2 linked regions of the Ovis aries genome follow. Each later gene encodes a partner of the first gene's protein in a complex. Links are inferred from orthologs where the notes say so. Each region holds a gene or a part of one and is shown on either strand. Other genes may lie near its edges.

What was found.
Region 2: the proteins of MEP1A (region 1) and FETUB are in contact, whole or in part, in a cryo-EM structure (PDB 7UAI), measured with the Homo sapiens proteins. The link is inferred for Ovis aries from reciprocal best matches to the Homo sapiens genes MEP1A and FETUB. Residues at the interface, in NP_005579.2 of Homo sapiens: Asp126, Gly127, Cys128, Trp129, Ser130, Glu131, Val132, Gln145, Gly146, Cys147, Tyr149, Ile152, His155, Glu156, His159, Tyr164, His165, Gln167, Ser168, Leu184, Gly186, Tyr187, His189, Asn190, Asp192, Tyr194, Tyr214, Gln215, Phe217, Ser218; in NP_001362516.1 of Homo sapiens: Phe109, Phe110, Lys144, Lys145, Tyr148, Met149, Thr150, Cys151, Pro152, Asp153, Cys154, Pro155, Ser156, Ser157, Ile158, Ser196, Ser197, Gln198, Trp199, Val200, Val201, Gly202, Tyr205, Phe206, Thr242, His245, Trp246, Phe249, Val250, Ser251.

What each region holds. Positions count from the first base shown.
Region 1 is NC_056073.1:19,969,992-19,974,109, forward strand, and holds the start of MEP1A (meprin A subunit alpha), read left to right. Parts: upstream 1-1,269; 5' UTR 1,270-1,279; coding exon 1,280-1,348; intron 1,349-1,433; coding exon 1,434-1,458; intron 1,459-1,546; coding exon 1,547-1,597; intron 1,598-2,617; coding exon 2,618-2,658; intron 2,659-3,985; coding exon 3,986-4,061; intron 4,062-4,118.
Region 2 is NC_056054.1:201,343,504-201,347,845, forward strand, and holds the start of FETUB (fetuin-B), read right to left. Parts: upstream 2,813-4,342; 5' UTR 2,708-2,812; coding exon 2,480-2,707; intron 2,152-2,479; coding exon 2,041-2,151; intron 540-2,040; coding exon 452-539; intron 1-451. UniProt on the Homo sapiens protein: Protease inhibitor required for egg fertilization.

The sequences.
Region 1 (4,118 bases):
GAATCTCAACATTAGACCCATGAAATAGGTACCCCTCTTTTTTTTGACACATGGAAAGCAAATGCTCAAAATGCCACACCTGCCCAGTGGTAGATGTAGGATTCAATTTTTCTATTCATCTGATTTCAACTTCACCACTAGAGTAAGTTGTGCAAATAAGTCTAAGAAGACAGGGAAAGATAAAATCTCATTTGGCTGATAGCAATCTAAATCTCCATCGACAGAGGAACAGATAAAGAAGATGTGGTACAGATATACAATGGAATATTCCTCAGCCAGAACGAAGAATGAAACAATACTGTTTGGGGCCACATGGATGGACACAGATATTATCATACTAAGTGCAATAAAGCAAATGGAGAAAGACAAATATCATATGATATCACTTATGTGGGGAATCAAGAAAAAAAGATATATTTAGTTTATTTTCAAAATGGAAAGAGACTCACAGACATAGGAAACAAACTATGGCTACCAAAGGGGAAAGGGGGAAGGAGGGAAAATTAGGAGGTTGAGACTAACATATCCATGTTACTGTATATAAAATATAAAACACAGATAACCAACAAGGACCTACTGTATAGCACAGGAAACTCTACTCAATATTTTGTAATAAACTATACAGGAAAAGAATCTAAAATACATGCATATATATATATAAAACTGAATCACTGTGCTGTACACCCAAAACAGATACCACATTGTAAATCAACTATGCTTCAATTAAATATTTTTAAAAAGATTTTTATTGAAATAACATTGTTTATAGACTAATATCAAACGAATGGCCATCTTTATTATACTGAGTCTTCCTGTCCATGAATATTTCATATAGTAAATAAATATATATGTGTGTGTATACACAGCTCTTTATGTTCTTCAATAATTACTTTATATTTACATGCAACTCTAATTCATTTTTATTTAAGTAATTTGTTATCATTTTATAGATAGCTTTTATTCCTATTATGAAATGGATCTTTTACCTGTTATATTATGCTATGTATATGAATGGTTATTGCTGGTATGTAGGAATGTTACTTATTTTTATGTGCTCATCTCAGTATTGACTTTTTCAAACTTCTCTAGTTTCTGGAACTTGAGCTTTTCTGTGAAACTTTGTATCTGTCCTCAAAGCAGCAAAGATAGTTTCTCTTGTGACTTCAATGCTACAGAACATATGTAAGGGTCAAAGTTTCTAATAAGACAGCCAGAGCAAGGTCCAAGGTGTCTTTGCTTATCACAAGGTGTCTTTGCTAAAATCTGTTCACTTGCAACAATGATTTGGACGAGATTGGCTTGCATTCTTTCTTTCATCTTGTTTTTTGCCCGCATAGCAGCTGTATCGGTAAGTAGAGTTCTGCTCTTCAGGGTATTTAGAAATATTAATTCTAGTATATGTTATCCTTTTTCTGTATATTTATTTCTTTCAGATTAACCATCTTTCTAAAGGAAGTGGTAAGAACTAATTGAAATACATAGAGAGTTTTCTGAACTTTTCTTTGCTCAGCAAGACTGATAACAATTTTCTCCCCACTTTTAACAGTATATGATGGAGAATTTGACGAACAGAAGGATATTTCAGAAATCAACTTAGGTGGGTGTAATTTCTGCCATTATTAATATCTTTAAATAATTTAAAACCCTGCAATAGAATTGCTGAAAATCTCTTAACTTTCAGAGTATGATATTGAGTAACTTTAGGAGAGAACTATTCATTGGTGCTTCATTAGAATTTTCAGCATTTCTGAAAAATGGAAACATGAAAAGAGAATAATGGTTAGACTGAACTTTCTAGAACTAGTGAGTATTCAGTGGCTCTAGAAATATATAACAAAATTTTTGTTTATAAAAAAATCATTTTTCCAGTCTTCATTTTGAAATGATCACCTAGTACCTCACTTCCTATCTCAGAAGTCCCATTTCGATCCCTCGAGTGCAAGAGTTTTGATACCGATGACCAAAAAGTTTCCTTCTAATTCACCTCTCACTTTTCAAGATTCTTGGACAAGATTTCTTTTTTTCATTGACGTATAGTTGATTTACACTATTACATTCCTTTCAGATGTACAACATAGTGATCAAATATTTTTATAGATAATATTCCATTCATAGTTACTATAAGATATTGGATATATTTCCTGTGCTGTACACTGTATCTTTGTGACATTTATTTTATAAACAGTAGTTTGTACTTCTTTATCCCCTACCTTTCTCTTGCCCTTCCTAACCTCCTTTTCAATCTTCACTGGTAAACAGTTTGTTCTCGGTGTCTCTATGTTTGTGTTTTATTATTCACTAGTTTGTTTTATTTTTTAGATTTCACATGTAAGTGATAACATAGAATACTTGTCTTTCTCTGTCTGACTTACTTTACTAAGCAGAATACCCTCCAAGTTTTCTTGTTCCAAAAAAATGGCAACAGTGGATATGACGATATATGATATTTATTAGCTTTTACATTTGTTCAATTAAAATGGATTTTTGTATTGTTTTAAAAAGAGTTTAACCACATAAAGATCAACAACTAAAGACAACGATAGAAAGGACTCATTTTATAAGAGATGCATTTTAGCAATTCTTGTTCAAATCTTTCTCTTTTTAAATCCACATCTAGCTGCAGGATTGGACCTCTTTCAAGGGGACATCCTCCTGCAGGTGAGTACCTTCTAGGGACACCAGAACATTCCCACAGGACTGGCTGTGACAGGACAGTGAGCCTCTGCTCTGTGTCCAGCCCTGAGATGACCATTATGAAGATGAAAGAATCTCAGCCATAATTTGTATGGACAAAGACTTCCGCTTTGGTTGCTGGTTAAAAAAAGATGAAATCATTAGCGACCAGAAAAAAGAGTCTATAATTATTAAATTCCTTGTCCACCCAATTTTCCTAAGAAACGAAGAATGAGAGAGAAGGAAATCCACCGCCATACTGAAAGTGACTATTTCAGTTTTGAGGAAATGTAGGTCTCTTTCATTGTTGTTCAATCACTGAGTCACATCTGACTCTTTGCAGTCCCATGGACTGCAGCACCCCAATCTTCCCTGTCCGTCACCAGCTCCCAGAGTGTGCTCAAACTCATGTCCATTGAGTTGGTGATGCCATCCAACCATCTCATCCTCTGTCGTCCCCTTCTTCTCTTGCCTTCAATCTTTCCCTGCATCAGGGTCTTTTCCAATGAGTAGGCTCTTCTTCAGGTGACCAAAGTATTGGCGCTTCAGCTTTAGCATCAGTCCTTCCAATGACCATTCAGGGTTGGTTTTCTTTAGGACTGACTGGTTTGACCCACTTGCAGTCCAAGGGACTCTCAAGAATCCTCACCACCACGGTTACTGCTACTGCTAAGTTGCTTCAGTCGTGTCCAACTCTTGTGCAACCCCATAAACAGCAGCCCACCAGGCTGCGCCATCCCTGGGATTCTCCAAGCAAGAACACTGGAGTGGGTTGCCATTTCCTTCTCCAATGCATGAAAGTGAGAAGTGAAAGTGAAGTCGCTCAGTCGTGTCTGACCCTCAGCGACCCCAAGGACCACAGCCTTCCAGGCTCCTCGGTCCATGGGATTTTCCAGGCAAGAGTACTGGAGTCGGTTGCCATTGCCTTCTCCAACCACCACGGTTAGGAAGAATCAGTTCTTTGGTGCTCAGTCTTTTTATGGTCCAACTCTCACATCCATACATAACTACTGGAAAAACATAATTTTGACTATATGGATCTTTATCAGCAAAGTAATATCTCTGCTTTTAATATGCTGTGTAGGTTAGTCATAGCTTTTCTTTCAAGGAACACGCATCCTTAATTTGGTCTTAAAAATTTATCTGGAAATTTCTATATTGTCTGTAATGAATATTTATTGTTTTTATAATTTGAAGACAACTTGACTATTTGAATAGTGTGACAGATTGTTTGTGATATGGGAGTTTACAGAAGGGGAAAGGAAGCCAAGGAGACCAGCTGTCCAGTCAGCTTTGCCTTTTGTTTCTGCAGAATTCCAGAAATGGCCTGAGAGATCCAAGCACCAGGTGGAAGTTCCCCATTCCTTACATCTTGGCTGACAATCTGGGTAACACTACTTGTTCTTCATTAGAAGCCTTGAGTTGAACTCTTCTCTCTCCCCTCT
Region 2 (4,342 bases), on another chromosome or scaffold:
TGCTTAGGAGTTCCAAGGGCAGAGGTTATCCGTGGAGGGTATCCTCAGCAGAGGGAGGAACACAAACTGGATGCAGAGATTGGAGAATGTGACGTGTGTTCAGAAAACAGTGAGTCATCTGGTTGAACGGAGTGCAGAATCGGTACAGTCAGTGAAATAAGGCACAGATAGCTAGAAAGGAAGCCTGGGGACCAGTCATGGAGATTGTGCCATTTACATCAGACTGAAAATTTAGGATTTGATGTAGGACACAAAGTAGAGCTTTTGCAGGTTATTTAGAAAGATTAATTGTGGGAAGAGGAGCAGTGCAAATGCTGGATATACAAAGAACCTGGCTTTGGGATGAATAAGAAGTGAGGATGGAAGAAACCCTATACACTACAGCATAGGAGAGTTAAATGCTCTGTTTTCATCTGTTATTAAAGTGAAAAAAATGAAAGTGATCTCTTACCTGGGCGAAGAGTACAATTATAAGCAGGTAAATAGAAAATTCTTTTTTCCTTATTAATGTAAAATATTGCTTTGCATTGGCCATAAACCTAGAACCAACAAATGCACTTCATGACACAGTGGAATGAACTAAGACTTTAAAAAATACCCCTGAAATGAAACTGGACATTTCATTTTTAAGGAACAAGAAACTCAAGGTCAATTTTCATAGTTTTTGGGTAGAGTAAACTGCCAGCTAATCATTAAACAATTTAACCTTCACCTGAGACACAGCTTGACTTCTTCCCAGCCTCCTTCCTGCTTAGACATGACTGTGTGTAAATGAGCTCTAACCACAGCCAAGTGAGCAGAAGGGATGTATATCCACTTTTAGGTCTAGCTTGTAAAGCCCTCCCACATGCTATCTGCCCTCCATTCTCTTTCCCTTTCCACTGCTTGATGCAATGAGCATGGTGACCACTGAAGCTACAAGGTGAAGCTACAGAGTCTAGGGAGCCACAGCATGGAAGTATCCAGTCTCCAAATCACTCCTGGAGGAAAGCCCCTTCCTCATCAAGGATTTCTATTTTAAACTTTACATGAATGGGAAACCAAGTCCTATCATTTTGCAATTGGTATATCCTTTTTGGTATATGTGTTATAGCAGCTCCTGCTGCTGCTGCTGCTGCTAAGTCGCTTCAGTCGTGTCCGACTTTGTGCGACCCCATAGACGGCAGCCCACCAGGCTCCTCTGTCCCTGGGATTCTCCAGGCAAGAACACTGGAGTGGGTTGCCATTTCCTTCTCCAATGCAGCTAGTGATGCACAAATATGTTTTGTCTATTAAGCTGGTGCCTAACAAACATAATTCACAACAGGGTATATAGACTGGTATATAGACTGTTTTGCTTTCCCAAACCAGGTAGGTGCAGTTTGGCAAGTTTGGTTAAATGACTAGAAAAAGACATCTTTGCCAAACACTTCACTTCTAGATACTTATATCACATTTATATCACATATAAAGTTTCATATAAATTAATGAAAATAATCTCAGGATAGATGAAAACTGATGATGCTCTTTTCAAGCCTCTTCAATGGCCATCTTTAAAAGGATCAATTCTGACTCCCTTTAGGTTCTGTGATACTATGAAATCCTTTCATAGCACCTCTGAGAGCACCCATACCACAGCCCTCCCTATCCCCAGCCTCAAATCTCATATAAGTGTTCTTGAAAACAAAATAAAGAAAACTAAAACAAATTTCAAAGCTCCCCTGCCATTGCTTCTAGTTTTCCTTAAACATACATCCAGAGCATTATACCTCAGATCTTTGCCCCTCAACTTAAGCCTAGCTCAGAGCCTACAGGAAGGTTTTGGAGGCAGAAAACAGTTTGGGGGTAACATTTCTATTCTGAGGTCATGACCCCAGTGGGAGCGTCAGAAACCCTGTCTGATTAAATTCTTTCTTCTATCAAATTGAAATAACCACATAAGCACCCTGCCCCAGAGATTATAAAGAGGGACATTTAAAGATGGCACATGTTGAATAATCTTCATCCCGTAGACAGAGGACACCTAGTTTCCCCCCTCAAGCTCCTGGGGAAAGTACTCACCGATTCATGAAAGATCCTCACTCCACAGTTCTTCCATGATGTCCTGCTGAGCACATGGCAGCCAGTCTCTAACACGTCCAGTGTGAAATAGAACAGAGATCCCAGACCAGCCTGTGCAAGGGGGAAGAGAAATGCACAACCCACATGAAGCAGAAACCTCTAATGACCAGCCAAGAAACTCTGTTTTATGGCAAAGCCAAAGGCTCTGATGTTTGTGAAGTGTTCCTGTAAATGATGGGACACGTTTCAGAGTGGATACCATTAGCACTTGTTTCAAATACTACTAAGAGGCAGTAGCACCCTAGCAGAGGAGAGCAGCGTGTACTCAGCAGGTTTCTGACTCGGAAAGCAACAGCCAACAGGTGTCTCTGCGTTCCCATGCCCTGGCCAGCCTCCCCAGCTTGTGCAAACACCTGCCCCACCGGGGACCACCACTTACCTCCTGTCTATGTTCACGGGCATCGCTCACTCGGTTGAGGCTCAGCACGTAACCATCCTTTCGGTCCCTGTTGATGTCCTGCAGGATGTCATTTGCGATATCCAGCACATAGGAGCTGTTGCAGTCAAGGGAGAGGAGAGGCGAGGGCCTGGCGGCTGGCTGGGGTGGAGAGGCAGCCCCGCAGCCCATGGCCAGGGTGCAGAGCACCAGGAGTAGGAGCACACTCATCCTATGGTGAGAAGGGGTGAGTGTGCGGAGCTGCAGGAATGAGGCTGTTTGTAGGATCTTGAGGCCAATTTGAGCAGCTTTGTAATCGCAATCTAAACCAGTGATCCGGATATGAAGCACAATGTTCTATTTTATCTCTGAAACTCCAAATGTAGATTTCGCTGAGTCAGTACTTTGGATGGGATTTGCCACTATCTATAACCTTAGACCCCAGAGTAATCTCACATTCATGTGTACCTGTTACCCAAGAAATCAATACAAACACTTGGGTCAAGGCTCCTGGGAGATCGGTATTGAATTCTGATTTCTGTTCAAGGCTCTAGCTGAGTCAGAATAGGAAGACTATCACCTCCTCTCTCATTACCCCTAACACCTTGCCTCCAGTCAATGTCCTGGCCACACTCACCTTTATTTCAGGCTTGGAGCCCAGAATCAGTGGTAATGGTGCTCCGTGACTTCAAACTCCACAACCTGGGTTCACCATTCTTGTTATATCAGAAAAAGGGCTTTAAGCCCTTTAAGCCCTTCATATACATGAAGCTCTGGTGAGATTCCCAAAGCATTTTAAATCTGGCTAGAAAGGGTTCTGTTTCATGGCCAAGAAGCACATGAAAAGATACTCAACACTGCTAATTGTTAGAGAAATACAAATCAAAATCATAGTGAGATACTACCTCACACTGGTCAGAGTGGCCATCATTAAAATGTTTATAAATAATAAATGCTGATAGGATGTGGAAAAAAGGGAACCCTCCTCCACTGTTGGTGGGAATGTAAATTGGTGCAGTCACTATGGAGAACAGTATTGAGGTTCCTTAAAATATTAAAAATAGAATTGTCATATGCACCAATAATCCCTCTCCTAGGCATATATCCAGAGAAAACTCTTAATTCGAAAAGATACATGCACCCAAATGTTCATAGTAGTGCTATTTACAATAGCCAAGACATGGAAACAATCTAAGTATCTACTGACAGATGAATGGATAAAGAAGATCACATATATATTATATATATATATAAGCTTCCCTAGTGACTCAGATAGTAAAGAATCTGCCTGCAATGCAGGAGACCCAGGATTCATACCTGGTTCAGGAAGAGCCCCTGGAGAAGGGAATGGCTACCTACTCCAGTATTCTTGTCTGGAGAATCTCATGGATAGAGGAGCCTGGCAGTCTACAGTCCATGTGGTTTCAAAGAGTCAGACACAACTGAGCAACTAACACTTTTGCACATATGTATATATGTGTTTATAATGGAATATTGTGCTCAGATGCTCGGTTGTGTCTTTTTGAGACTCCGTGGACTGTAGTCTTTCAGGCTCCTCTGTCCATGGGATACTCCAGGCAAGAACACTAGAATGGGGTGTCATTTCCTCCTCCAGGGGATCTTCCCAACCCAGGGATGGAACCTGCTTCTCTTATATCTCCTGCATTGGCAGGTGAATTCTTTACCACCAGCATCACCTGGGAGGCCCATGAAGGAATATTACTCAGCCAAGAAAAAGAATGAAATAATCCCATCTGAAGCAATATGCATGGATTTAGAGATTAGCTACTAGGTAAAGTAGGCCAGACAAATATCATATGACATTGCTTATATGTCGAATTTAAAATATGACACAAATGAACATTT